Ovis aries: one gene and its partner. The protein of the gene in region 1 interacts with the protein of each later gene in a pairwise test. Links are inferred from orthologs where the notes say so. Each region holds a gene or a part of one and is shown in the gene's direction. Other genes may lie near its edges.

Evidence for each region.
Region 2: the proteins of RASSF5 (region 1) and RASSF2 interact in binary tests that used the Homo sapiens proteins (3 or more experiments, as listed by UniProt). The link is inferred for Ovis aries from reciprocal best matches to the Homo sapiens genes RASSF5 and RASSF2.

The regions. Positions count from the first base shown.
Region 1 is NC_056065.1:4,108,568-4,112,312, forward strand, and holds the start of RASSF5 (ras association domain-containing protein 5), read left to right. Parts: upstream 1-977; 5' UTR 978-1,025; coding exon 1,026-1,488; intron 1,489-3,745. UniProt on the Homo sapiens protein: Potential tumor suppressor. Seems to be involved in lymphocyte adhesion by linking RAP1A activation upon T-cell receptor or chemokine stimulation to integrin activation.
Region 2 is NC_056066.1:46,778,026-46,781,770, reverse strand, and holds the start of RASSF2 (ras association domain-containing protein 2), read left to right. Parts: upstream 1-1,031; 5' UTR 1,032-1,092; exon of another isoform or gene 1,093-1,398; intron 1,399-1,488; exon of another isoform or gene 1,489-2,250; intron 2,251-3,745. UniProt on the Homo sapiens protein: Potential tumor suppressor. Acts as a KRAS-specific effector protein. May promote apoptosis and cell cycle arrest. Stabilizes STK3/MST2 by protecting it from proteasomal degradation.

The DNA.
Region 1 (3,745 bases):
TTCAAGGCGAGGACAGCAGAGCATTAAAATCGAGAGGAGGGGGGAGGCTGTGAAGCCTGTCCTCGGACTGATAGAAGGGAATCTCTCTCTGAGTCCCACAGGCGGGCTGTCCACACCAGGTGCAAAGCAGGGCTTCTGCGGGCGGGGGTGGTGGTGGTATTTCCACAGTAATTACTAGAACATCTATGGGGAGAGGCAGATTTGACTTAGAAAGGAAAGCTCTCCCAACCCACGGGGGCCCGGAGTGTTGGCACGGACCTAGGATCACCAGAACTCCAGTCTTCCGGGAAAGGACTCTCCTACCGGCCAGGGCTGCTGCGAAAGGGGAAATCCAACCAGGGTGAACGCGGCGCGCGGACAGCCCGCTGCCATCAGCATCGGAAGCGTCCCCCGCCGTCACGGGACTCGGAGCCGCCGTGGGCCCGCGAGCCGCGGCCGGGCATCCCCTGCGTGCGCCGGGCTCGGGGCGCGCGGGGGCGGCGGACTGCGGCGAGCGCCGGAGGGGAAGGGCCGGGGGGCGCGTGAAAACCGGGAGGCCAGCGGGCCGACTCTGAGCCGGCGGACGTCTCGCTGGACCCCCATTCTCCGTTTCTAAGCCCTTCCCTCCGGCCCGCTCCCTCCTCGGGGCGGGTTGGAGTGTGGATTGGGGGCGTGGGAACCTGGGGTTGGCGGGTGAAAATCTGGGGTTGGGGTGAAGGATGGGAGAGGAGAGGAGGGCTGAAGGCAGGAGGCTCCCACAGAAAGCCTCTTCCGAGTTGTCCTGTAAGAAGCTTTCCACGTGCAACCCTTCAGCTGCCCCGGCTACCTGAAGACTCCCCGGAATCCACACTCGCCCAGGCGTCCCCCACTGCCGCCCCTGTTCAGGGCGGTCGGTGGTTCCCGTGCGTCGTCCTTCCTGCCTCTCCGAGGTCTCCCCGCCCCCGCCCCGCCCCGCCGGCTGCGGCCCCTTTAAAGGCGCGCCGGTCTGGGGCCGCCCCGCTCTCGAGGCGGACTCGGGAGGAGCGCCAGCGCGGAGAGCCGCCGGCATGGCCATGGCGTCCCCGGCCATCGGGCAGCGCCCGTACCGGCTGCTCTTGGAGCCAGAACCGCCGCGCTATCTGCAGAGCCTGAGCGGCCCCGAACTGCCGCCGCCGCCGCCGCCGCCGGGCCACTCCTCGCGCCGCTGCGCCCCCGCGCCCCTCTCCACTGCGCCAGGCGCGCACGAGAGACGCGGTGCCCGGAGGGCCGCCCGGGGGGACCCGGAGCCCCAGCCCCGGGCCTCGCGACCCGCTCGCCCTCTCCGGCCTGGTCTGCAGCAGAGACTGCGGCGGCGGCCCGGCGCGCCCCGGCCCCGCGACGTGCGCAGCATCTTCGAGCAGCCGCAGGACCCCCGCGTCCCGGCGGAGCGAGGCGAGGGCCACTGCTTCGTGGAACTGGCGCTGCGGGGCGGCCGCGGCTGGTGCGACCTGTGCGGGCGAGAGGTGTGGCGGCGCGCGCTGCGCTGCGCTAGTAAGTGTGAGGGTCCGGGCGGGGCGGGGCTGGGGGGCGCGGGAAGACCGCAGCCCGCCCGCGAGAGGCTGCGAGCGAGCGGGCTGGGGCGAGCCGAGAGGGGGCGCTGCCCGCTCCGGCTCCAGGGAAGACCGGGGGTTTCACCGAGGGAGGTAGCCCCTGGACACACTCTGCTCCTTAGTGCCCTTAGGTATGCTTATGCGATATTTAACAAACACCTCTTCCTCTGACAGGTGCGCGCCTTGCCCCTCTCCAGAAACAGCCAGTACACACACACACACACACACACACACACACACACACACACGCACAGAGACACAGAGACACACACACACAGACACACACACACAGAGGCTGGGGTTGATGCCTGATGCTACCAGATCATTCCCTTGTCTCCAGGGCCCTCTCTTGCTTTTTTGTAGCTTCTTGAGAGTGGGTTGTGAGGCTACTCTTGAGATGACCGTTTGGCCCCTGCTTATTAGGACAATGGCAGATAACTTTGTCGGCCTGCCTGTGGTACACCCTTCCTCCAGGGTGACCTGTGGGGACAGGGAAGAGACCTGGTTGGGCTTTGGATGGACAGAGGCCATGAGGCTTGAGAAGAGGGTGAAGTGACCCTGGATCCATGCCCTCTCCGGCCTTCCACCTCTGGCCCCTCGGACCTTTGCCCTCTGCTCTGATGTTTGGCTGGGCCCTGCTTCCTCCCCTTCCTCCTACTGGCTACTGCACCAGGCATCAGGCTCGAGAATTCCCCAACTACCTGCCCTGTCTCACTCTCCCCAGAGCTCTCAGGTCCCTCCAGCCTCCTCCTCTGAGCCAGAATCTTCTCAAAGCCTGACTATAAAACACTGGACATCCACTGTGTAGATTTTCTGAGCACATTTGCGGTCTTCTTGGGGGTTTGTTATTTTTCTCTTCCAGCAGTTAGGTGTGTATATTTCTTCAGTGATGTTTCATTTCTTCTTTTCCTATTAGATTTATCTAGAAAAATAGATTTTCCTGTTAGACTTATCTAGAAATATAGATCTTTTTCCTATTAGATTTCTCTAGAAAAATAGATTTCTTCTTTTCCTGTTCCCCACCCCATATTTGCTGTGGTCATATTTGACGATACCCACCCCCATGTGCGTATGTGTTTATATAGGTATTTTAAATATCTGAAGCACAAAGTGCAGACGATGGTACAGCATCTAGAAAGCCTCTCTGGAAATGGCCTGGGGTTGCATCTTTCAGTCAAGCCTCTTCCCTCATGACAGCAGCCCCCATCTCCCATCCAGCTGTAGCACTGTGCAGCAGCAGCTATTACGCCCTCATCAGGAAAGCCTGGCCCGGCCTCTCTGCAGTCCCCAGCCGAGGCTGCTCAGTGTGCTCCCCACTGCAGCTGGCTTCAGGGAAGCAGAGCTCAGACTCGAAGCCAGGATCGAGCGGAAGAGGAGTGTGGGAGGTGGGGGTGGGTTCTGCTCCCGCCACCATCAGAACTCAGTTCAGGTGCTAATTAATAAGGAAAGGGGGATGGACACAGAAATGTGTGATGTGGGCGGAGGGCTGCTGTCACTCGGCAAATCGCCCTGACCTTCAGCAGAATCAAATGCAACTTTCCCACAGATGTGTTTGCAGCTTCTGCCCCCTCAAGGGCCCTGGGGTACTTGACTGCCTCCCGACAGTAACATAGAGAGGCAGTATCCTCTTTGTAATGGGTTTTAATGTGCTGGAATCCCAGGACAGCTGCTTCACTGGAATTCTAGTTTGTATTAGGACACTGAGGACTTCCAGTTAGTCCAGTGGTTAGGACTCGGTGCTTCCGCTGCAGGGTTCGATCCCTCATCGGGAAACAATATATTGCAAGCCGTGCAGCATGGCAAAAACCGAGAAAAGTTTAAAAGTAAGAGTGGAAAAGACACTGGAGGACTGTATCAATTGTTGAACGTTTGGCATATAGTTTTACGACTTGCGGGGCTGTTATTGGTAATGGTGTCTCTGTGTTTATTTGTGTATATGCGTGATACTCCATGATTAAATGAATTTATGCAGGGCTTCCCTTGTGGCTCAGCTGGTAAAGAATCTGCCTGCAATGCAGGAGACCTGGGTTCGATCTCTGGGTTGGAAAGATCCCCTGGAGAAGGGAAAGGCTACCCGTTCCAGTATTCTGCCTGGAGAATTCCATGGGGTCTCAGAGTCGGACACAACTGAGTGACTCTCACTTTCATACTTTCACATTAGACAGTTTCTTGTGAAAGGAAGCCCCAGGTGAATAGTG
Region 2 (3,745 bases), on another chromosome or scaffold:
CTCCTTGTTCTGGGGTAGCTGACACAGTTTTCACCACTAACCTTCAGCTGCATTTTGGATTCAAAAGACTTTTGTGGCCAGCCTGGGAAGCACATCACCATTTATAACATTGTTTCTAAGGGAAACACATTCCATGCACCAAACAATGAATTTATAAAGTGTGTCTGGCTTCCAGGAGGGATGAGCTGACCCAGCTGTACCCTGAGGTATAGTTTAACCCTTAGTCTCTGACACCAAAAGGCCTGGAGATCAACTCTACAGGTCTGGAGTATGTATGTTAGTCGCTCAATCGTCTCTGACTCTGCGACCCCATGGACTATAGCCCGTCAGGCTCCTTTGTCCATGGAATTCTCCAGGCAAGAATACTGGAGTGGGTTGCCATTCCCTTCTCCAGGGGATCTTCTCGACTCAGGGATAGAACCAGGTCTCCTGCATTGCAGGAAGCCCATAGTATGTTTGTGGGGCTGGGGGAGAATTGCGATAAGAAGGAGGGAACAGATAAGGCGCCCCTCATCTGGGGTGCTCTAGGGATCCCTGTGCACTGAGAGGCCATGAGGCTCAGGGATGGCTAAGAGGGGGAGGTGAGAGGACAAAGAAACTTGGCCTCCATATTGGTGTCATGTGTGCCAGCCCGCGAAAGCCCGCGAAGTCCAAGGGGCCTTGCTCAGCTCAAACCCTTTCTGGAATAAGCAGGTGTTAGAAAACATATCCCATATTCTCTGCTTGGGGAATCCAGGGCGCTCGACTTGGGCTTCGCGGGGCAGAGTGACTGATCTCTGGGAGTGGCTATCACCGTCCAGAGCGAGCCAAGGGCCAAGACTACATCCCTTTCGGAGGTTTTGGAGAACGCGGTGAGCAAGCCAGCTCATTCTCCCCACCCTCTTACTTCTACCCCTCCACCCCAGGCCGGAAGAGGCGCTGGCAGCCTGAGCCCTGACTCGCAGGAGGGAAGGAGGCGACGCGCAGCCACAGCTTTGTCTGGGAGGGAGGGGAGAAGCCCCGCCCCCAGGGGGCGGGGGGCCGCGAGAGGAGGGGGAAGAAGAAAGGCTAGGGAAGGAGGGTGGAGGGAGCGGTGGAGAGCTAGAGAAAAGAGTAAGGGAGGGCGGTCAGATCCGATAGAGGCAGATAAAGACGGAGGGGCGGGAGAGAGGACAAGGAAGGGCGGAGGGGGGCGGGGCGCCCGACCCCCAGCTGCGCGGCTGCAGCCAGCTCTGCCGAGCTGCTAGGGATCCTGGCCCGCCGATTGCTGAACGAGCTCCGTGGCCACCCCCGCCCCCCTACTTTCCAATTCCACGGTCCCCGCAGCGCGCGCGAGATGCAGCCGGTTCCGGACGCAGGCAAGGCGCGGGGCGCGGGCGGCTGGGAGCAAGCCTCCCGGAGCAAGTTGCGGGGCGCGAGGTGTGGTGTACTGGGCGGTCCTCTCTCCCCTCGCTGAAAGTTTGCTCGCAGTGTCCCCTGCTTCTTCCGTGTCAACCCCTCAGTGCCTCGGCGCCCTCCTTTCCCAGACGCTGGGGGTTCCAGGCTGTGCGGGCTCCGCTGGGGCCGCGTAGGCGCGGAACCCCGGCCAGCCTGCCTTCTGAGGGACAAAGTTGTGGTCCAGGCTCTTCCTTCCCCTTCGATTCCCTGGGGGTTTCTTCCTTCTCTCCGCGCCAAGGGCGGCGGCAGGAAGCCCCCCACCCCCCAACCTTATTCCCGGGGTCCCCCGGGACTCCCTGGCGAGAAGTTGCCGGGCGGGCAGGTGCAGGGACGTCAGACCCCGACAGCCCGGGGGTTTGGGTGGGTGGTGGTGTCCGATCCTAATCCGGTTCTCTTCTTCCCGACTGAACCGAGGGTTCCCTGGAGGCGCGTTCCAACCAACAGCGCCTGAGCCTCCCTTGGCCTTCAGAAGGGCGTTGGACGCGTTGGGGGCCTCGGTCCTCCTTGCACTTCCCCTTTGCCGGCTCTTGGCCTGCCTCCAGAGCCTGAGGTCGTTGAGAACCTCGGCTTTGCGTCCTGTCTCACTGAAGAGGCAAGTGCCTTGGGCCGACTTCGGCCACCACTGCATTTTGAGCCCCTGCATTGCACTCAGTTCCTAAGCTGGGAAAGCCCTAGGGACAGAGAGAGACACAGTCGCCTGACAGGGAGACATGAGGCTCCATTTTATCCTGGGGCGCTCCTTGGGTCCTGAGTTATTCACTGCACCTCTGCCCCTCAGTGACAGAAGGAGCTGAGGGCCAGGCTTCTGAACCCTGCGATGCACTTTATTCCCAGGTGCGTGGAATCTGGATCCCTAGAGCTTGTTCTCCCAGAGAACAGAGTTGTCTAGAGCTGGCCAAGTTCATAATATGTACTTTACATGTGATGAGTGAATGTAGGCACCAATGAGCTGACAAATAACAATCCCTGTCACAATTGATCTTGGCACAATGGGAAGAAAGAATTAGAAACAATGATTCTTTTAAACAGCTGTGAGACAGAACCAGGGGCCTTCTTTCCAGAGCATCTGGTTGAGGAACCTGGGGTTGGATTTATTTTATTCATCAATCTACATTTACTTACTGGAAACTTTTTCTTCAGGTGGTCTGAAGAATTAAACCTCTTATGGCTAAGCTATATTACGTTGTTTGAGAAGAGGTTTTGTTTGTCTGTTTGCTTGTTTTTGTTGTTTTGTTTTAAACTTGTGTCCAAATTCAGTGTTTCAGGGACTAAAATTGAAGTCAGCCTGCGAGGTGCCCATTTGGGATCAGAGACTCTGAAGTAAGGCCATGAGTATGGGCAGCAACTGTGCTTTCTCCTCTGAACAGGTCAGCCTGATGCCTGAGAGCTGCAGCAATCCAGTGGGCCTCAGGGGGATAGAAGAGGGCCTCAAAGGATGACTGAGCTCAGAGAGGCAGGGTAGCTTTAGAAAGAGGGTAGTTCTTCCCCTGGGGTAAGGAGGTAGCGATGCCTGGGAGTCCAGCCTGGTTCAATTCAGGATTCCCTGTGCTAAGAAAGCTGGAAGGTGAATCCTGCTCCTCCTTCAGAAAAAGGGAGAGCAGAAGTGGAGTACTGAGTAGTAGATCTGTGACATGCAACCTAAACATACCCTTGTTTTTATGCTGGTGAAATCTGGTTGGAATGATGAGGACACCTTTGGGGGACCTGGTTGAGAGAAGGCCAGTGGACCAGAGCCCCTAGTCACATCCTTGTCCAGGGGAAGGTAATATGCCCTCTACACCTGGCCGAGCAGGCCAGGGCCTGCACAGTATCTGCCCCTGCTGTATTTCTAGCTGGCAGCATCCCCACCTTCCTGAGAGTGGTTTCACTCTGCTCCAGAGTCCACTTCTCTGGGGTTGTGCAGAGGTGGGACGAGATTATCAGAGAATCCCTTGGAGAGTTTGGGGAAACTGGACGATCCCAAGAGCAGTCTCAGGATTTGTCCACGTTCCTTTTCCTCTGCTCAGAGTGAGAAACTGGGAAGGTCTCAGCAGGGTTTTGGGGGATGGAATGAGACATCCAGTCTGTCTTCAAGCCATAGTTGCAGTTTATAAAACTAGAGCAGTGGTCCTTTTCTGCACCTCCTCACTAATCCCACTACTCATCACAATATGGTCCAGTTATTTATCCCAGTGACATACCGTGCCATTTAAACACTCCCTGCCTCTCCAGAAGAATTTTAAATAAATCCTTAAGGCTGGGTTAGCTACCACAGGCCCATGATTGCTAACTTCAATTGTTTGATTATTTGTGGGTTCCTATGGAGGATGAGGTGGGGGAGGGGATGGAG